3 linked regions of the Xenopus tropicalis genome follow. The protein of the gene in region 2 interacts with the protein of the main gene of each other region in a pairwise test. Links are inferred from orthologs where the notes say so. Each region holds a gene or a part of one and is shown on either strand. Other genes may lie near its edges. The genes, in order: ece1, clk2 and ythdc1.

Evidence for each region.
Region 1: the proteins of clk2 (region 2) and ece1 interact in binary tests that used the Homo sapiens proteins (3 or more experiments, as listed by UniProt). The two-hybrid records come from large-scale screens. The link is inferred for Xenopus tropicalis from reciprocal best matches to the Homo sapiens genes CLK2 and ECE1.
Region 3: the proteins of clk2 (region 2) and ythdc1 interact in binary tests that used the Homo sapiens proteins (3 or more experiments, as listed by UniProt). The two-hybrid records come from large-scale screens. The link is inferred for Xenopus tropicalis from reciprocal best matches to the Homo sapiens genes CLK2 and YTHDC1.

The regions. Positions count from the first base shown.
Region 1 is NC_030683.2:132,700,680-132,708,803, reverse strand, and holds the start of ece1 (endothelin-converting enzyme 1), read right to left. Parts: upstream 5,352-8,124; 5' UTR 5,279-5,351; intron 958-5,278; exon of another isoform or gene 881-957; coding exon of another isoform or gene 609-880; intron 1-608. Other genes in the region: alpl (alkaline phosphatase, tissue-nonspecific isozyme), read left to right, coding at 609-880. UniProt on the Homo sapiens protein: Converts big endothelin-1 to endothelin-1.
Region 2 is NC_030684.2:146,287,405-146,294,578, forward strand, and holds part of clk2 (dual specificity protein kinase CLK2), read right to left. Parts: intron 4,201-7,174; coding exon 4,107-4,200; intron 3,728-4,106; coding exon 3,661-3,727; intron 2,307-3,660; coding exon 2,190-2,306; intron 2,083-2,189; coding exon 1,916-2,082; intron 951-1,915; coding exon 856-950; intron 754-855; coding exon of another isoform or gene 751-753; coding exon 624-750; intron 545-623; coding exon 462-544; intron 314-461; coding exon 234-313; intron 115-233; coding exon 24-114; intron 1-23. UniProt on the Homo sapiens protein: Dual specificity kinase acting on both serine/threonine and tyrosine-containing substrates. Phosphorylates serine- and arginine-rich (SR) proteins of the spliceosomal complex.
Region 3 is NC_030677.2:82,571,726-82,578,543, forward strand, and holds part of ythdc1 (YTH domain-containing protein 1), read right to left. Parts: intron 6,462-6,818; coding exon 6,382-6,461; intron 5,457-6,381; coding exon 5,420-5,456; intron 5,334-5,419; coding exon 5,294-5,333; intron 5,122-5,293; coding exon 5,059-5,121; intron 3,194-5,058; coding exon 3,059-3,193; intron 1,059-3,058; coding exon 843-1,058; 3' UTR 1-842. UniProt on the Homo sapiens protein: Regulator of alternative splicing that specifically recognizes and binds N6-methyladenosine (m6A)-containing RNAs.

The sequences.
Region 1 (8,124 bases), on a different chromosome or scaffold from region 2:
CTACTCCCAGCACCCCTACTCCCAGCACCCCTACTCCCAGCACCCCTACTCCCAGCACCCCTACTCCCAGCACCCCTACTCCCAGCACCCTTACTCCCAGCACCCTTACTCCCAGCACCCTTACTCCCAGCACCCTTACTCCCAGCACCCCTACTCCAGCACCCCTACTCCCAGCACCCTTACTCCCAGCACCTTACTCCCGCACCCTTACTCCCAGCACCCTTACTCCCAGCACCCCTACTCCCAGCACCCTTACTCCCAGCACCCCTACTCCCAGCACCCTTAACTCCAGCACCCTTACTCCCAGCACCCCTACTCCCAGCACCCTTACTCCCAGCATCCCTACTCCCAGCAACCCTACTCCCAGCACCCCTACTCCCAGCATCCCTACTCCCAGCACCCCTACTCCCTGTATAACGCTGTCGGAACCCCCCATTATCAGAATAACGACCCCCCAATATCCATTCTCACTGGCTGTACTGACTCCTGACACAATGTAGCAGGGAGGCCGATACATTTATAGAGGAAATAATCACTATATTTGCCCTTTACATGACTGTATAACGCTGTCGGACCCCCCATTGACCCAGTTGTTCTCCCATTTGCAGCCCACCCCAACTACCTGGCCCAGTCGGCGGTGCCGCTCCGTATGGAAACCCACGGTGGGGAGGACGTGGCGGTGTTTGCCAAGGGCCCAATGGCGCACCTCCTGCACGGGGTCCATGAACAGAACTATATCCCCCACGTCATGGCCTACGCGGCCTGTATTGGGCAGAACCAGGACCACTGCACGTCTGGCAAAGAGAGTTACGGCGCCAGAACCTCCCTAACGCTGGTGTCGGCCCTACTGCCCCTCCTCTCCCTCCAGCTCTTCTACTAATGGGGCAGAACCCAGTGTAAATGAACTACCTCTGCTTTACTGCCCCGGCCCTGACGGAGAATGGACTCATCCTAGAACCGAGGAGGTTACACTGATGGGGGGCACCCCTCCATCAGCCCTGCCCCCCCTCACCCCCTCCCCTATTCACCCCTCCATCACCCCTGCCCTCCCTCACCCCTCCATCACCCCCCATCACCCCTGCCCCCCTCACCCCTGCCCCTATTCACCCCTCCCACCCCTCCATCACCCCTGCCCCTATTCACCCCTCCATCACCCCTGCCCCCCTCACCCCTCCATCACCCCTGCCCCTATTCACCCCTCCATCACCCCTGCCCCCCTGCCCCCTCACCCCTGCCCCTATTCACCCTCCATCACCCCTGCCCCCTCCCCCCTCACCCCTGCCCCTATTCACCCTCCATCCCCCCTCCACCCCTGCCCCTATTCACCCCTGCCCCTATTCCCCCCTCCATCACCCCTGCCCCTATTCACCCCTGCCCCTATTCACCCCTCCATCACCCCCCTCCCCCTCACCCCTGCCCCTATATCCCCCTCCATCACCCCTGCCCCTATCACCCTGCCCTATCCCCTCCATGCCCCTTCACCCCTCCCCTATTCACCCCCTGCCCCTATTCACCCCTCCATCACCCCTGCCCCCCTTCACCCCTCCTCACCCCTCCATCACCCCTGCCCCCCTCACCCCTGCCCCTATTCACCCCTCCATCACCCCTGCCCCTATTCACCCCTCCATCACCCCTGCCCCTCACCCCTCCCTCACCCCTCCATCACCCCTGCCCCCCTCCATCCTCTGCCCCTATTCACCCCTCCATCACCCCTGCCCCTATTTACCCCTCCATCACCCCTGCCCCCCATCCCTCTGGCACCCTTGCCCCCCCTCACCCCACACATGGGGTGCCCCAGGGTCTCTGTGCCCCAAGCTTACCCCTGCCCCTAAGGCCCAGACTGGAGCAGCAATTTAGTAGGATGAAAAGCCTCCAGGGAAACAGGGGGCGGGGCAGATCCAATTCATGAAAATCATTGGCCAGACGGAGAGGGACAGAGCAGCCAATCAGTGTTCGCTTTAATCTCTCTGTGATGTCAGCGAAATAAACCGGTCCGTATCCAATCAGGATCCGCTCTGATGCATCATCTCTCCCAATGCAGGTCCCTCCCACTTATCTATATTTGCCCCCCCAGGGGTATATTGATAAAGGCCCAGAGTAAATACCCCCTCTCTCTCCTGAGGACTCAGAGTCTTAGATATAAAGACAGAAAACTACAGGGCGACACCTTTTATTGGATTTCTAGACTGCAAGCTCTTGGGACAAGTGAGGCCCCTGTGCCACCTACTGCTGGGGCTCTGTATAAAAGCCCCTACCCTGAAGACTAGGAGGGGGCCTGGCCTCACCAAAGGCTTTCTGGTTTCCACAGGCAGCGGCCCTAGCAACCAGGTAATATTCTGAGTTAAAGACAAACCACAGACTGATAATGACACAATATAATCACAATAAAAGGTTAACTTCCCCTTTAAATGCATGTAATGTAAATTTGTTTCTCTACGAGATTCCCCGGGCCCTCAGCCCAGATACCCCCCCCCCCCCAGCAGAGACTGCCCCATGTTACGTGCCCCGGAGTGGATTGTGCCGGTTGGTTCCCAGCAGTGTAACGAGAAGATCTGGTGACTGCTGCTGTCAAACTACAACTCCCAGCAACCCCAGCAGCAGCGCATGAATGGGCCCATGGAACAGAGGAGGAGCCCTATTTGCCCATAAATAACTTACTAACCAATAGGAACTCCCTGAGCAAACTGTGGGGGAGCCAGGATTGGCTGGCTGGGGGGGGGGGGGTATAATATTAACAGGTGGGGCAGTGCCAGGGCACCGGGGTAAGTCTGTGGGAGGTGCCGGGGCCCTCTCAGCATTTATAGGAACCCGCAGGGATTACTGGGCCAATAGGAATGTTGGGAAGCGGATTGGCCGGGACTCGGGGAGGGACAAGTTCCCCTTTAAATAAAATCTCAGTTTAAAGAGAAAACAACTTATTTATAATGTAAAACCCACAGGTCTGTATTTATGTGCCCCGCCCCTTGCCAGCTCTGTGCCCCGCCCCTGCCAGCTCCGTGTCCCGCCCCTGCCAGCTCCGTGCCCCGCCCCTGCCAGCTCCGTGCCCCGCCCCTGCCAGCTCCGTGCCCCGCCCCTGCCAGCTCCGTGCCCCCCCGTGTCCCTATACTGCCCCCCCAGTCTCCCTATATGCCCCGCCGTGTCCCTATACTGCCCCCGCCAGTCTCCCTATACTGCCCCCCCAGTCTCCCAATACTGCCCCCCAGTCTCCCTATACTGCCCCCCAGTCCCCAATACGCCCCCCAGTCTCCCTATACTGCCCCCCAGTCTCCCAATACTGCCCCCCCATCTCCCTATACTGCCCCCCCGTGTCCCTATACTGCCCCAAGTCTCCCTATACTGCCCCCCCGTGTCCCTATACTTGCCCCCCCAGTCTCCCTATACTGCCCCCCCGTGTCCCTATACTGCCCCCCCAGTCTCCCAATACTGCCCCCCAGTCTCCCTATACTGCCCCCGTGGTCCCTATACTGCCCCCCAGTCTCCCTATACTGCCCCCCGTGTCCCTATACTGCCCTACATCCTATACTGCCCCCCCGTGTCCCTATACTGCCCCCCATCGTCTCCCAATACTGCCCCCTCCAGTCTCCCTATACTGCCCCCCCGTGTCCCTATACTGCCCCCCCCTCCCTATACTGCCCCCCCAGTCTCCAAATACTGCCGCCCCAATCTCCCTATACTGCCCCCCGTGTCCCTATACTGCCCCGCAGTCTCCCAATACTGCCCCCCCGTGTCCCTATACTGCCCCCCCAGTCTCCCAATACTGCCCCCCGTGTCCCTATACTGCCCCCCCAGTCTCCCTATACTGCCCCCCCGGTCCCTATACTGCCCCCATCTCCCTATACTGCCCCCCCAGTCTCCCAATACTGCCCCCCGTGTCCCTATACTGCCCCCCCAGTCTCCCTAACTGCCCCCATCTCCCTATACTGCCCCACCGTGTCCCTATACTGCCCCCCCGTGTCCCTATACTGCCCCCCCAGTCTCCCTATACTGCCCCGTGTCCCTATACTGCCCCCCCCAGTCTCCCTACTGCCCCCCCGTGTCCCTATACTGCCCCCCAGTCTCCCTATACTGGCCCCCCAGTCTCCCTATACTGCCCCCGTGTCCCTATACTGCCCCCCCAGTCTCCCTATACTGCCCCCGTGTCCCTATAACTCCCCCCCAGTCTCCCTATACTGCCCCCCCGTGTCCCTATACTGCCCCCCAGTCTCCCTATACTGCCCCCAGTCTCCCTATACTGCCCCCAGTCTCCCTATACTGCCCCCCAGTCTCCCTATACTGCCCCGCCCGTGTCCCTATACTGCCCCCCCAGTCTCCCTATACTGCCCCCCAGTCTCCCTATACTGCCCCCCCAGTCTCCCAATACTGCCCCCCCAGTCTCCCTATACTGCCCCCTCGTGTCCCTATACTGCCCCCCCAGTCTCCCTATACTGCCCCCCCAGTCTCCCTATCCCCCCCGTGTCCCTATACTGCCCCCACCAGTCTCCCTATACTGCCTCCCCCAGTCTCCCTATACTGCCCCCAGTCTCCCTATACTGCCCCCCCAGTCTCCCAATACTGCCCCCCCAGTCTCCCTATACTGCCCCCCCCAGTCTCCCTATACTGCCCCCCCCAGTCTCCCTATACTGCCCCCCCAGTCTCCCTATACTGCCCCCTCCAGTCTCCCTATACTGCCCCCCCATCTCCCTATACTGCCCCCCCAGTCTCCTATACTGCCCCCCCCAGTCTCCCTATACTGCCCCCCCAGTCTCCCTATACTGCCCCCCCAGTCTCCCTATACTGCCCCCACCCAGTCTCCCTATACTGCCCCCCCAGTCTCCCTATACTGCCCCCCCAGTCTCCCTATACTGCCCCCCCAGTCTCCCTATACTGCCCTCCCCAGTCTCCCTATACTGCCCCCCCAGTCTCCCTATACTGCCCCCCCCAGTCTCCCTATACTGCCCCCCCCAGTCTCCCTATACTGCCCCCCAGTCTCCCTATACCGCCCCCCCAGTCTCCTATACTGCCCCCCCAGTCTCCCTATACCGCCCCCCAGTCTCCCTATAGCCGCATCGCCCCCCCAGTCTCCCTATACTGCCCCCCCAGTCTCCTCATAGGAATGGGCTTAATTAACACTTTGCCCCATAAATGGGAGGAGCCTCATTATCAGTATATATTTGGGCCTATGCACAGTAATGTTCCCTGTACTGGGGGCAGGGGGGGCCCATATCTCCATGGATACCTGTGTCTCTGCCTATCAGGGGAGGCTGCCAGGAGACACTGGGGAGGAAAGAGTTAAACTCACCTGGAGAGAAGTGAGGGGCTCAGCAGCTGCACAGGTACCCCCAAACCCAGCCTCCCTCTGTGAGCAACCCGCCCCTCCCCCTCCCCTCTTTATATGGGTTAGCCGGCCAATCAGCAATCAGCCTCATTAACTCATTCCTTCCCAGAGTCTGACCCACCCCTTTAACTGGGAGCAGCTATATTATTCCCATGATACCGGCCGATACCCCGACCCACCCCTTTAACTGGGAGCAGCTATAATATTCCCATGATACCGGCCGATACCCCGACCCACCCCTTTAACTGGGAGCAGCTATAATATTCCCATGATACCGGCCGATACCCCGACCCACCCCTTTAACTGGGAGCAGCTATAATATTCCCATGATACCGGCCGATACCCCGACCCACCCCTTTAACTGGGAGCAGCTATAATATTCCCATGATACCGGCCGATACCCCGACCCACCCCTTAACTGGGAGCAGCTATAATATTCCCACGTTACCGGCCGATACCACCGACCCACCCCTTTAACTGGGAGCAGCTATAATATTCCCATGATACCGGCCGATACCCCGACCCACCCCTTTAACTGGGAGCAGCTATAATATTCCCATGATACCGGCCGATACCCCGACCACCCCGTTTAACTGGGAGCAGCTATAATATTCCCACGATACCGGCCGATACCCCGACCCACCCCTTTAACTGTGGAACAGCTATAATATTCCCATGATACCGGCCGATACCCCGACCCACCCTTTACTGGGAGCAGCTATATTATTCCCATGATACCGGCCGATACCCCGACCCACCCCTTTAACTGGGAACAGCTATAATATTCCCACGATACCGGCCGATACCCCGACCCACCCCTTTAACTGGGAACAGCTATAATATTCCCACGATACCGGCCGATACCCCGACCCACCCCTTTAACTGGGAGCAGCTATAATATTCCCATGATACCGGCCGATACCCGACCCACCCCTTTAACGGGAGCAGCTATAATATCTCCATGATACCGGCCGATACCCCGACCCAATCCCCTTTAACTGGGAGCAGCTATAATATTCCCACGATACCGGCCGATACCCCACCCACCCCTTTAACTGGGAGCAGCTATAATATTCCCACGATACCGGCCGATACCCCGACCCACCCCTTTAACTGGGAGCAGCTATAATATTCCCACGATACCGGCCGATACCCCGACCCACCCCTTTAACTGGGAGCAGCTATAATATTCCCACGATACCGGCCGATACCCCGACCCACCCTTTAACTGGGAGCAGCTATAATATTCCCACGATACCGCCGATACCCCGACCCACCCCTTTAACTGGGAGCAGCTATAATATTCCCACGATACCGGCCGATACCCCGACCCACCCCTTTAACTGGGAGCAGCTATAATATTCCCATGATACCGGCCGATACCCCGACCCACCCCTTTAACTGGAGCAGCTATAATATTCCCATACCGGCCGATACCCCGACCCACCCCTTTAACTGGGAGCAGCTATAATATTCCCAGGATACCGGGCCGATATCCCGACCCACCCCTTTAACTGGGAGCAGCTATAATATTCCACGATACCGGCCGATACCCCGACCCACCCCTTTAACTGGGAGCAGCTATAATATTCCCACGATACCGGCCGATACCCCGACCCACCCCTTTAACTGGGAGCAGCTATAATATTCCCATGATACCGGCCGATACCCCGACCCACCCCTTTAACTGGGAGCAGCTATAATATTCACAGGATACCGGCCGATACCCCGACCCACCCCTTTAACTGGAGCAGCTATAATATTCCCACGATACCAGGCCGATACCCCGACCCACCCCTTTAACTGGGAGCAGCTATAATATTCCCACGATACCGGCCGATACCCCGACCCACCCCTTTAACTGGGAGCAGCTATAATATTCCCACGATACCGGCCGATACCCCGACCCACCCCTTTAACTGGGAGCAGCTATAATATTCCCATGATACCGGCCGATACCCGACCCACCCCTTTAACTGGGAGCAGCTATAATATTCCCATGATACCGGCCGATACCCCCGACCCACCCCTTTAACTGGGAGCAGCTATAATATTCCCATGATACCGGGCGATACCCCGACCCACCCCTTTAACTGGAGGCAGCTATAATATTCACATGATACCGGCCGATACCCCGACCCACCCCTTTACTGGGAGCAGCTATAATACTTCCGCCACGATACCGCCATACCCGACCCACCCCTTTAACTGGGAGCAGCTATAATATTCACATGATAACCGGCCGATACCCCGACCCACCCCTTTAACTGGGAGCAGCTATAATATTCCCACGATACCGGCCGATACCCCGACCCACCCCTTTAACTGGGAGCAGCTATAATATTCCATGATACCGGCCGATACCCCGACCCACCCCTTTAACTGGGAGCAGCTATAATATTCCCATGATACGGGGCCGATACCCCTACCCACCCCTTTAACTGGGAGCAGCTATAATATTCCCATGATACCGGCCGATACCCCGACCCACCCCTTTAACTGGGAGCAGCTATAATATTCCCACGATACCGGCCGATACCCCGACCCACCCCTTTAACTGGGAGCAGCTATAATATTCCCATGATACCGGCCGATACCCCGACCCACCCCTTTAACTGGGAGCAGCTATAATAATTCCCATATACCGGCCGATACCCCGACCCACCCCTTTAACTGGGAGCAGCTATAATATTCCCACGATACCGGCCGATACCCCTACCCACCCCTTTCAAACTGGGAGCAGCTATAATATTCCCACGATACCGGGCGATACCCCGACCCACCCCTTTAACTGGGAGCAGCTATAATAT
Region 2 (7,174 bases):
CCCCCCAGCCAGGCAGAGCTTACCCTTAGGGGCTTGCAGTTCTCTCGGACGTATCGGCCCGCGGACGTGTTATCATCCCAGTCTAGGCGCCCGTGGTAGAAATACTTCTGCTTCCTGTGGGGGCAGAGAAGCGATAGGGGGGGCTTAGGCAGAGAAATACCCCTCCCTGGGGCACAATCACCCCTGAGTACAGACGAGAGAGGGGTTGGGAGGAGGAAGAAGAGTTTGCTCACCTGGTTTTCCTAACCATGCGCGATGGGACGGGCCCCAGAATCCTCTCCATCATGGCTAAATGCTCTCGGTTATCGTGGGTCTGCGGGGGAACAGAAGCAGGGGTTTGGCGCATAGAAGAACGGGGAGTCAACACAAGCCCCCCAACATTAGGCATCAGGTCTGATGGGGGGCTCCTAGTAACTTAACTGCTCCCCCCCCCCACAACGGGGAACGTCTATGTGACTCACCTGAAAGAGGGTGAAGCCCACGTAGTACTCGAATATAATGCACCCCACGCTCCACACGTCACACGGTTGGTTCCAGCCCAGCTCTGCAAGAGACAAGCATGTTAGAGAGAGCACAGCCAATGAGATGCAGGGGGGTAGGTAGGTGGCAGCTGGAAGCCTTACCCAGTATAACCTCGGGCGCCCGGTAGTGCCGCGTGGAGACGATGGTGCTGTGATGCTCGTGATCAAACGTGGCGCTGCCAAAGTCCACCACCCTGATGTCAGTGTTCTTGACGCACCGCTCGTCGCGCTTCTTTGCGCAGTTCCGGGGGGGGGAGAGGGAAGGGTTGTTAGACAGCGGCCGGCAGCCCGATACGGGGCGGGTACTAATGATAGGGTGGGAGGGGCTACTCACCTTCTCCATGTTGTACGTAAGCTCATAGTCAGAACTGACGAATAAGATATTTTCTGGCTTGAGGTCTGTATGGGTCAGTTTGTTGTCGTGCAGAACTGGAAGGGAAGATCCGAGTGAGGAACAGTCTCCCGGTGCCCAAACCTGCTCCCGTGTATGCCCAGCTTGCCCCCGGTGCCCAAACCTGCTCCCGTGTATGCCCAGCTTGCCCAAACCTGCTCCCGTGTATGCCCAGCTTGCCCCGGGTGCCCAAACCTGCTCCCGTGTATGCCCAGCTTGCCCCGGGTGCCCAAACCTGCTCCCGTGTATGCCCAGCTTGCCCCGGGTGCCCAAACCTGCTCCCGTGTATGCCCAGCTTGCCCCGGGTGCCCAAACCTGCTCCCGTGTATGCCCAGCTTGCCCCGGGTGCCCAAACCTGCTCCCGTGTATGCCCAGCTTGCCGCCGGGTGCCCAAACCTGCTCCCGTGTATGCCCAGCTTGCCCCGGGTGCCCAAACCTGCTCCCGTGTATGCCCAGCTTGCCCCGGGTGCCCAAACCCTGCTCCCGTGTATGCCCAGCTTGCCCCGGGTGCCCAAGCCTGCTCCGTGTATGCCCAGCTTCCCCGGGTGCCCAAGCCTGCTCCCGTGTATGCCCAGCTTTGCCCCGGGTGCCCAAGCCTGCTCCCGTGTATGCCAGCTTGCCCCGGTGCCCAAGCCTGCTCCCGTGTATGCCCAGCTTGCCCCGGGTGCCCAGCCTGCTCCCGTGTATGCCCAGCTTGCCCCGGGTGCCCAAACCTGCTCCCGTGTATGCCCAGCTTGCCCCTGGTGCCCAAAGCCTGCTCCCGTGTATGCCCAGCTTGCCCCTGGTGCCCAAACCTGCTCCCGTGTATGCCCAGCTTGCCCCTGGTGCCCAAACCTGCTCCCGTGTATGCCCAGCTTGCCCCTGGTGCCCAAACCTGCTCCCGTGTATGCCCAGCTTGCCCCTGGTGCCCAAACCTGCTCCCGTGTATGCCCAGCATGCCCCTAATGCCAACCCGCCTGGGCCACTCTAATATAATACCATCTTCCCCCCGCGGGGCACTTACATTTCACAGCCTGGCACACCTGCAGGGCCATATGCCGCACTTGGTGGATGGGGTACGGGAAGTAGTTATTCTCTTTCAGGAAGTCGAACGTGCTGAGGCCGAGCAGCTCGAATGAGATGCACATGTGTCCATGATAGTCGAACCAATCGTACATCTGCACGCACAGGCTGGGGAGGAACCGGGGTACGTCAGGGTTTCAATTGGATAAGCCTCCCCACCCCCCAACTCACACGGGTTCTGCCCAGGGGGGACAGACGCACACCCGGGGACTTACTGTTTGTTCTCCGGATCCTTTTCGTTGATTTTTTCCAATACGTTGATCTCCAGTCGAGCCGCCTCTTTGTATTTCTCCACATTTTTGATGATTTTTAATGCTACTCTGGCTCCCCCCCTAAAGCCACACAAGGAGGAGAGACATACAGTAAGAATATATAAAAGCGCTCTATGGTCAGTGTCTCAGCCTCTGCACAATACAGCTGAACGCTCTCACGTGCCCAACGCGGTCAGTTCCCCCTTCTGCTCCCCACATGCACAGCTCTTAAAGGGGTAGTTCACCTTTAAATTAACTCTTAATATGATGTAGACATTTATCTAACTGATTTTCAATTTTTGTTTTGTAGTTTGTTATTTAGCTTTTTGCTCCAGTTTGGAACTTCAGTAGCTATCTTGTCACTAAGGTCTTGCTTACCCCAGCAACCAAGCAGTGGATTTAACGAATGACTGGAATATTAATAGAAGAGGGCCTGAATAGTGCAAGTAAATGAATACATTTATAAGCTCACAGAGCAATAGTTTTTTGCTCTTGGGGTCAGCGACCCCCATTTGAAATGTAGACGAGGAAGCTAAATAATTTGAAAACTATAAAAAATAAATAATTGAGAAGTTGCTAGGAATAGGGCATTCTATAACATACTAAAAGTCAGTGTAACGGTTAAACACCTCTTTAAAGGGGAATGTTCACCTTTAAATTAACTTAATATGATGTAGAGTGATATTCTGAGACAATTTGCAATTGGTCTTGCAGTTTTTGAGTTATTGAGCTCTCCAGTTTGCAGTTTTTGCAATCTGGTTGCTGGAGTCCAAGTTACCCTAGCAACCAGGCATTGATTTGAATAAGACTCTGGAATATGAATAGGAGACTGCCTGAACAGAAAGAGGAGTAATAAAAACTTGCAATAACAATTTGCAGCCTTGCAGAGCATGTGACTTTTAGATGGGGTCAGCGACCCTCCCCCATTTGAAAGCAGAAAAGAATCAGAAGAGTAAAGCAAAAATTAGAAGAAAGAAAATATGAAGACCAATTGAAAAGCTGCTTAGAATTGGCCATTCTATATCATACTAAAGGTGAACCGCCCCTTTAAGAGTACAGCTGGATTGTGCAAGTCAATATGTGGCCCCAAAGTAACTCCCCCCAACTTATTTATGCCCTGCGGGTCGAGAAATCCTTGCCCCCACCCCTAACTGGCTTCCTCCCTGTATTTATAGTCCCGCCCTGCAATGACATCACAAAAGGGGCAGGGCTTGCGCCTATAAATTAGAGCACCGTCAGTGACCCGTGATTGATGTGCTGAGATCGGCCTGAACCCACCCCCTACCTGTGGGTTAACCTGCGGGTATCGTGCCAACCTGCACGTCCCTACTGGCCGCTGTTCGGCCCCATATCTATGAAATGTTCAGACACCGTCTGCCATGACAGGAGCACGTGGCGAAGGGACGGGTGGCGCCACACACAAACACGCACTTACCTCCTGTGATCGACGCACTGAACGACTCGGCCGAAAGTCCCTTCCCCGAGGGTGCTCACAATCTCATCTGCGTGGGCAAGCAGAAAGGGGGCGGGATTAATACGGAGCAGGACACTGCCGGCGGTGCCAGTGAATCTGCCTACGGGCGCACGTGCCAAGGTCAGGCTGTGAGCCCCCGACACGCTGCCCTATAGCTAGATAGAGAAGTATATACTAGCTGCCTGGCCATATAAACATACTGTACGTGGTAGGTTTACAAAGAATAAAGGAGTTAAGGAGGAGGAAAGGGCTTTTGCGTTTGTTTCTCTCTTTAAAATTAAATGTAAAACAAAAAAAAAAAAACCAAATAAAAAAATAAACACAAAAGACAGACAGGTCTGCAGCGTCTCTGGGGAAGGGGGGGTCTTAGAACTAGAGAGCTAAATTATGTTACGATTTGGCTGTACATCGTTCTTGTAGCCAGTCGCCGCTGTGATAGATCAGGTGGCCCTCCACGTCGTCTTCAACACTCTTGGCCCGCCGGCTGCTCTGGCGACTCCGCTGTGAGCACATCGTCATCCCCGCCAAAGCATCACCATTCGCCAGCCAATCAGATTTTTCAAACCAGCGGCACATTGGTAGGGTTGGTTTGGAAATTCACATGGTTGTTTTGAGGTAGAAGGGTGAGCAGTAGATTCCCAGCCAATTCATACGGCACATAGGAATATATAACGATAGGGATATTGCAAGGGAACAGGTCAAGATACAAATACACTAACTCAGAAATCAAAAAAATAAAAAAAGGAAAGAAAAAAGAAAAAACATTCTGCTTTGTTTCATCGATGCAAAGGGAGGAAAACAGGAACAACACTGTGGGGTCCCCCCCCCCCAAATATATACGTATTACAGTCTTCATGCTACTGGGGTTACATACAGTGAGGGAGGGAGGGGCCCTAATCATACCAAATATATATTCTATCATTATATACCCAGCACGCACCCCGAGCTAATCATACACACTGGCCCCCAACATTCCCACATACCCCCCAAACCAACCCGTTACACTCCCAAGCACAAAGCTCAAACCCATATATGCTCCCATCCCAGCTCCTATACACATACTCAGCACTGAACTCATAGCATTATTGCCCCATGTCCTGCCCCATATTCCCATCATCCTCCCCCGGTACAGGGCCCGGCGCATATCCCCCGGTACAGGGCCCGGCGCATATCCCCCGGTACCCACGGTAAAGAGCTGGGCATATATCCACAGTAACGTATCGCCTAGTTTTATAAAATCGTTTTTGAGGACCTCCCAACCGCCGGGTCTTCCCCAGCCCCCCATAATAATTTGCCCACTCGCTCCCCCACATGCGGAACCCTAGCACCAGGCAGGCAACACACAGTTCAGCACGTAGGGTCCTTGTGCCAAATTCCCCTATCCACCTTTCTAATAATCCCGTACAACTATAGCCTGCCTTCCCTTCCCAGCACTACTGCCCCCCTGTATTAGAGGTGCTGGCCCCCAGCGGGCTCTGAGTCAGCCTGCTCCATACATGCAACTATTAGACTCGCTTTCATCAGGTATGGTACCTATGCATTGGGGGAAGGCGAATGTTATTCTTATATTTATACAGGGAGTAAGATCTCAGCCTGGCAATTATAGGCCAGTAAGTCTGACATCCGTGGTGGGCAAGTTATTTGAAGGCTTGTTAAGGGATCACATACAGAATTATGTACTGGAGAATGGCATTATGGGTAGGAAGCAGCATGGCTTTATGAAGGACAGGTCATGTCAGACCAATCTGCTTTTTATGATGAGGTAAGAAGCTGGACATTGGGGATGAAGTAGTCGGACAGTGGGGGGGCAGTATTTGGACAGTAGGGGGGGGGGGGGCAGTAGATATAATCTATTTGGATTTTGCCAAAGCATTTGATACCGTTCCCCACAAACGACTGCTTTCTAAGCTAAGGTCTATTGGTCTTAGTGAAGCCGTTTGCACATGGATAGAAAACTGGCTACAGGATCGGGTACAGAGGGTGGTTGTTAATGGTACATTCTCTACTTGGAATAAGGTTCTCAGTGGGGTCCCTCAGGGTTCTGTACTGGGTCCACTTTTGTTTAATTTGTTCATAAATGACTTAGGGGAGGGTATTATGGGTAATGTATCAGTGTTTGCAGATGGCACAAAACTCTGCAGCCCAGTCAGTTCTACCCACGATGTGGCACCTTGCAGCAGGGTCTGGGCAACTGGCAATCTGGGCAGCTAAGTGGCAGATTTAATGTGGATAAATGTAAGGTCATGCACCTGGGATGTAAAAATATGCCCCCACTTATACCCTTAATGGGACTGCACTGGGCAAATCCATAATGGAGAAGGAGCTTGGAGTGCTTGTAGATAATAAACTTGGCTGTAGCAAGCAATGCCAGGCAGCAGCTGCAAGGGCAAACAGGGTATTGAGCTGTATTAAAAGGGGTATAGATTCACGGGAGGAGGGGGTTATTCTTCCCCTTTACAGAGCGCTGGTAAGGCCCCATCTAGAATATGCTGTTAAGTTTTGGTCTCCAGTGCTCAAACGGGACATTATTGAGTTAGACAGGGTCCAGATGGGGTTTTGCCTTCCTCTGGATCAACTAGCAGTTAGGCAGGTTATATATAGGCATTATGGTTGAACGTGATGGACGTATGTCTTTTTTCAACCCAACTTGCTATGTTACTATGTTGTTTCAGAGCCGGGCGTATTTCCCCAGTACCCACAGTACAGAGCCGGGCATATATCCCCAGTATCCACAGTACAGAGCCGGGCATATATCCCCAGTATCCACAGTACAGAGCCGGGCATATATCCCCAGTATCCACAGTACAGAGCCGGGCATATATCCCCGGTACCCACGGCGCAGAGCCGGGCATATATCCCCGGTACCCACGGCACAGAGCCGGGCGTATATCCCCGGTACCCACGGCACAGAGCCGGGCGTATATCCCCGGTACCCACGGCACAGAGCCGGGCATATATCCCCAGTACCCACGGCACAGAGCCGGGCGTATATCCCCTGGACCCAAGGCACAGAGCCGGGCGTATATCCCCGATACCCACGGCACAGAGCCGGGCGTATATCCCCGATACCCAAGGCACAGAGCCGGGCGTATATCCCCGGTACCCACGGCACAGAGAGGGGCATATATCCCCGGTACCCACGGCACAGAGCCGGGCGTATATCCCCGGTACCCACGGCACAGAGCCGGGCATATATCCCCAGTACCCACGGCACAGAGCCGGGCATATATCCCCTGGACCCAAGGCACAGAGCCGGGCGTATATCCCCGGTACCCACGGCACAGAGCCGGGCGTATATCCCCGATACCCAAGGCACAGAGCCGGGCGTATATCCCCGGTACCCACGGCACAGAGAGGGGCATATATCCCCTGGACCCAAGGCACAGAGCCGGGCGTATATCCCCGATACCCAAGGCACAGAGCCGGGCGTATATCCCCGATACCCAAGGCACAGAGCCGGGCGTATATCCCCGAT
Region 3 (6,818 bases), on a different chromosome or scaffold from region 2:
AATAATCACAGTGGCTTTTATTATAAAACTGCACAAAATAACGCATAATGGTACAAGACTACACAAAATAAGAGGTGCATTTGTAGCAGAGGAAATATCGTAACTGCTAGCATATGGCTTAAAAAAACCACTGCAGTAACAAATTAAATTACATTGTTATCAGCCAGGTACAAAATGATAGCAGGAGAAAACATGGTCAAAATATTTTTTCTAGCACATAGGTTGCTTGCATTCTCCACAAGTCTGCAACTGAGAAAAAGTGAAGAGGTACAAATTTAGATGCAAGTGTTTAAAAAAAATGTAGGCAACAGGCTTTCCAGTATTGCTTTCATCATTGCCAAATAGTACAAGGATAAAAGGGCAGAAGGGTGTCTACAATATGTTCATCAGCCCATAACTTCAGAATTTGCATACTTCATAGCAGCATTATATTCACAGAATCCTCACTAACTACAAAAGGAACAGGGAAATCTGTGAAGGCAGTTAACAAACCACTTCATCAGTGGCCTTTGAAAACAGGGTATATGCAATACGGCCCATGGAGTAACAAACAAAAACGCTGGTATGAAATACCGCTAAGATGAACAATTAACCAAAGACAAGTTTATTTCTTTGCACTAGTATAGGCTTTTTAATTTGCATCTTTTTTTGGCCATTTTAATAAATCTCCATTTCATACACACGTGCGCAACAGAGGTTCAAATGATATAAAATGAGCAGTATTCTCTTTTGCTTAAGCATTCGACAAACTGAACAGAAATGTCACTATTTTGTAAACACGCGTAAGGAGAAAATATGAAGGTAAATTTCAGAGAGGACATAACCAGTGTTGGCCAAGGAATTTATCTCCTGTATCTGCCCCTATCTCCTCTGTCCCCCCTTTCCCTATCACGCATCCTCTCTCTCTCACGATCTCTATCACGATCACGGCCCCTGTCTCGACGGTTGTCTCTGGGACGTTCCCGCTCTCTTTCACGCTCTCTAGGTCGGCTTCTTCTTCCGCTCACCACAGCTTGCGTTCGCCGAAGGAAATCATCCACTCTCATATCATAATCATGCTTTTAGAATTACAAAAATAAAGAAGTTAGATCAACACAGACAAGCAGTATACAATACTAAAAAAGCACATTAGGAAATGGAGCTTATGCTATTCAATCCATTTATAATGCAGCAGGACTCCTCCTCACAAATTGCACGTGCCTCTCCTAGTTCTTACCACGTATCATGCAAATTTAATTTGGACATATGCTGTCTGAAAATCCAAGAAATTCAGCTTCTCTTCACTTCCTCAATTGCTAAAGCACCATGCAAACACAATGCATCGGCAAATTTAAAATATAAAACAGGACACAACATCTGCAATCCAATAGGATCATAGAATGGTTTGTTGAAACCCAGACCCAATCTGGCATACAAATGAATCCAGAAGTTTGGGTAAATCAATTAGGGGACTATGAGGATCATTCAAAATCTTAAACTTGTTTTTCTTCAAGTAGCTCATGGTGGCCAGCATGCAAGTAGGTTTTGCCCTGCCATTTCTTAATGACACTGCTGACAATGGACTTTATGAACTGCAAGTGTATCATTTTTTTTTTCTTTAGTTGTTGCATAGTTGACTGAAAGCCCCCAAAAGTTTACATTGTCAAGGGATTTGGTCAACGGGTCACAGCCAAACTTTACTAAGTTGTTGCTTGACTACAAATCCCAGAATAATGTACCATATAATGAAGGCTGAGGCCTGCTGGGGGCCGTAGTCCAACAATATCAAGGATGTATTCTTAAAGTAATATTGCACAATCAAACTTTTCCTAAATCATTTTAGAAACAGCCAGCCACTGTTTTAAAATGCAAAAAATCCTTAAATGAAAATCTGATCTGTGTAAATTTGACTCCCTGTTCTTTCTTCCTGCAATTGGAGTTGGAAGCATTATGCAGTTTTCCAGCACTGAACAAACCAGTCCTATTACCATGTCTGATTCAAGTGTCATTTAATGAAGGAAAAAAATTACAATTATCTATATGGAAAACAACAAGATGACTACTATAGTGCTGAGAATCAGCACTCATTGGTCAGTTCTCTTGCACTTAAAATGAGGGAGTGTGTTACGGTTGGGTTTACAACCCCCTTTATGCCCAATTAAACTAATTAGTGTCAGACACCTTGCAAAAAGTAAAATCCAAACCTGTACACATGCCATATGTTTTGATGTTTGTGAAATTTAAAAATGTGCATTATCATTTGCAACTATGTTGGTTAACACAAGATTCCTGCAGTCGTTGTTTACTGATCTTCAATTATAAAAATTTAAATATTTCATTTGGCAAGGAGTACCCAAATTATTGCAATCAACTTTACATGCCTACACAGTCAGACAGTAAGGTCAGAACTGCCAGACCAAATTTGGCCACAGCAACAATTTTAATTTTTAATTTTACAATTCTAAGGTAGAGTTGAAGGGTCTTTGCTCTCCAAAACAGTGTGGGCACTTGCAGCAATTCTACAATATCAGAATGAAGTGCGGAGTGCACTTTGCACACTCTCTGATCGTTGTAAATGACTGCTAATCTGTAACTGGTATAGAACTTTTGTTCCAACCAAATATAACAAAAGAACTAGTGTTCTTAGAAACCTAGAAGTATAATTTAATCGTTGCTATTAGTATTTAGAGTTTGAGCTCTACAGGGCTATCAACTTTGGGATTGATTATGCCAAGGCTTCTCAAAAACAAAAGCCTATTGCTCTTACTTACTACCTGCCCATTTTGTTGCTGACTAACAGATGTTAGAAAGCAAAAAAGAGGAAGTAGTGTTCTGGCTTTTAGACACCCACTCACTCCAGCCTTTATAGATGACATTTTTGGCTTACTCTATTAGAAATATTTTGTATTTTGCATAGCCTATTTACCCAGTTTTATTTTTACACTGAACTGTTCCTTTTATTCCTAAAATGGCTAAAAGTTGTTTAAAATCTCACCAGCAGCTAGCCTCTACCATATTTATATCAAACACTGAAAACAAATGCAACATTAAAAAAAAAAAAAATTATAACTGAACTTACAACCCGTTTATCCCGATATCTTGCATCATGTTGAACCGGATGATGACCTGAGAACTGTGGGTGTGCTTGAGGTGGCGGTGCATGATGTTGATAGTATGGATGATGAGGAGCCTGCTCCATTGCCGGATACGGTGGCTTTAAACAAAAAAGAAAAAAAAAAAAAAGTTTTTTTTGAAAATCAGATAATGATAAAGATAAAGAAATAGAAAAATGTATATTGGCGATTATTATTTGTGGGCCAGTTCGCTATTCTGTTGTAAAAGATGAGACCTGATGAAATTAGCCCTTGGTAAATTAGCTTTGCTAGTCTTGCAAAAAATACACAAATGAAGTAATGCAGCAATGTTTTGTAACAGGACCACATTTTCTCATACTCAACGGGGCAAAATTCATTGTTGAACATGAATGCAATGAATAGGGCTTGTGCTGAGCATATCTTTGCCTGTTATTTCTTAACCTAAACAGGACAAACAGGAAAACGGATACTAGCCCATGTTTGGCTCTTGGCAGAAAACTAGATTTCCACTGCACAGATATATTACAGGTTTTGTATACATTCACATACATACATACATACATACACACAAACACACTCTGCATAATGGATTGGACAAAACAGTCAGAAAATTGTTTGCAGCCACCATTTCCCAAAACATTACTTGTGTGTCACATTCTGTGGCTGCAAATAAAAGGATACAATACTCTATAACATGTATATTACTTATTGTATAGCGCTGCAGAATATGTTGGCAATTTATAAAAACATAATATTGTGTGTGGCTCTTCAACATGCTATACTGGACAAATAGAAATAAATGCATGCCATACCTGAACAGTTTTCGCCAGTAAATTCAGATTACCTTGCTTTGAGCTAACAAGACACTGCTGTAGTAGTCCCGCAATCCCAAAATATATGCATACCAAGCCACTAAAGTAACATTTAGTTTAGATAGTGAGCAAGTAAACTATAAAACATGTAAAGTGTGCAATGCACACGTGGATCTATAACTGCATGCATGCATATCTGTACTTCAAAGTTCAAAATAACGAATTTGTTTGTATCATTACACAGGTTACACACATTTGTTATGGGCACAGTCAAAAATGGGAATTTAATTCATGCTCATATCTGGACAACTGACCAAATAGGACAGTAAATAACAAGCTTTCCGCAACTCAATATTGCTACATTTGAAGCTGTCTCTGATCCTTAAAGGAACAGTAACACCAAAAAATGAAAGTGTATAAAAGTAATAAGAATAAAATATACTGCTGCCCTGCACTGGTACAACTGGTGTGTTTGCCCCAGAAATTTATATAAACAAAGCTGCTGTTTAGCCATGGGGGCAGCCATTCAAAGGAGAAAAGGCACAGGCACAAAGGAGATAACAGATAAAACACTATTGTATTCTACAGAACTTATCTGTTATCTGCTATGTAACCTGTGCCGTTTCTCCTTTTTTCCAGCTTGAATGGCTGCCCCCGGGGCTACACAGCAGCTTGTTTATATAAACTATAGTAGTGTTACTGTAGCAAACACACAACTTTTACCAGTGCAGAGCAACAGTACATTATATTTTAATTACTTTAAAAAACTTTATTTTTTGGTGTTACTGTTCCTTTAAATGTCTTTTTCTACTCCTCCCTAGGTATGTCAGTGAAGTCTGTCCAGAACTGAATGAAGAGGGCCCCATTCATGCAGGTCATTGATCCAACTGGCATAATTCAGTCTATTAGCTTAACAGTATGCAATGGAAACTAAAAAGGAAGAGGCATGCAGAGACCTCACTAGTTTGGGCAAGGTCCACTGACACAAGAAGAGTCAGCAACTCTTCAGCTAAGGGGAAGAATCTGAAGCTAAGTGCAGAGAAATACAACACCAAAAGGTACCAAGCAAAATATCTTAAAAAAAAATTGGGAAAAGCTTTTTAATGACATGGGTTTCAATGTTCACAAGACTAATATGAAAATCACAAAAAATATATATAATATATACCAACCATTCCTTGCCATGGTGGAGGTGGGCCCATATTATGAAATTCCCTTACATAATCATTGTAAGACTGAAAGAAGAAAAAAAAACAAAAAAACAAATATTGTGACATTTACCTAACAGATTTGCAATTAAAATGGGTTCAGGCCTGTATAGAAATTTGTACAGGAGGAAGGTTAAGGTGTTTAAGAGCCACGGAAGACAAAAAACATGTTTGAAGGTAGTAATTTATCTTAACATACCCCATTTAAAAATACATCTCTTCGAACACCAGTGAATCTTCTGCAAAAAAAAAAGGAAAGTAAATGAGTAACTTGCTATACTTTAATTACAAACAAATACAGACCATAAGAATTAGAATATTTTACCTGTCTACTTCTTGGTAACGTGGATCCTTGACAAAACCTGTTTAAATTAAAAAAAAAATAAAATGAACAAATGACTGTATATATGTGAATATATATAGTAAATGCACTTGGGTCTTGGGCCTAGTGGGACCAAAGCATCAATTTTCAAGAAGTCAGAATTTGTTGTTTACTATCTATTTAACATCATATGCATGTGCCTGCCATAGAAGAACAAACTTCCATTTTAGCTAAAACTAATAAAAATTTAGTTTACAACAATTTGAAGACACAAACCGAGTTAAAATATAAATGGCTGTGTAGTTGTAGTATGCATATATTAAGAAAAGTACCTGTACATTAAAGGACATCCTATAATATAAATCTGAATAATCTCTTAAAGCAACAGAAAAAGCAAAAAAAAAAAAAAAAAAATCTTCGTCCATGGCAACTAAACATGTACAGGAAATCAGCACATCCAATATCAACGTTTATAGCCTTTTGCAAAAAACAGAACTATGAATGCTTGAATATTCTATTTGCCGAGATATTACTACAGTTACAGGTATGACATCTGTTATCCAGAAACCCGCTATCCAAAAAACAAAACATTATGGGAAGGCCATCTCCCAGTCCAATTTAACCATACCATTTTTTTATGATCTCTAACAAGTCAGTACCTAGTACTTGATTCCAGCTAAGTGATAATTAATCCACAATGGAAGCAAAAAAAAAAAAAAAAAAATAATCCAGTTGGGTTTATTTAATGTTTACATTTTTTTAAGTAGACTTATGTTACGGTGGTCAAAAAAACAAAGACCTCTTCTTATCGGGAAAATCCCAGGTCCCAAGCATTCTGGATAATAGGTCCCATACCGGTATTTCCTGCTTGTTTAATTATATAAAAACCTGTTGCTAGTACGTACAGTACAATACCCCACATCAATAATTTATACTTGAATTGTTCTTTAAAAACAGATATTGACCTGGGCGCTGGTGGAACTCAGGAGGATAGTCAATTCTTGGTTTCTTTCTGTTATGAATATCGTACTCTTCTGGTCGACGCCTACACAAATTAAATGTTACAGATTAAACAGAAAACTTGCAGTTTATCCAAGGCCAGTCTGAGGTACAATAACCTTGTAGCCAGACGTAAACTGTTTTACTACTCTGTATTATGGAGTGCAAGATTTAACATTGAAATAGCTAGTAGAATGTTATCAAAAGCTGAACCAGTTGAAGATGGCTTTTCATAAAATAAACATATTTTCTTAGCCCATAACATGCCATTCACCATAAAATCCTTGCTAATAAAATATAGTGCAACTGGACTTGCTTAGTAATCATGGAAGACTTCACTACTCATCTGAGCAGCTTCTTCAGTTGAATAAAAGTACCATTCTTTAGACACTTGAGATTTTCA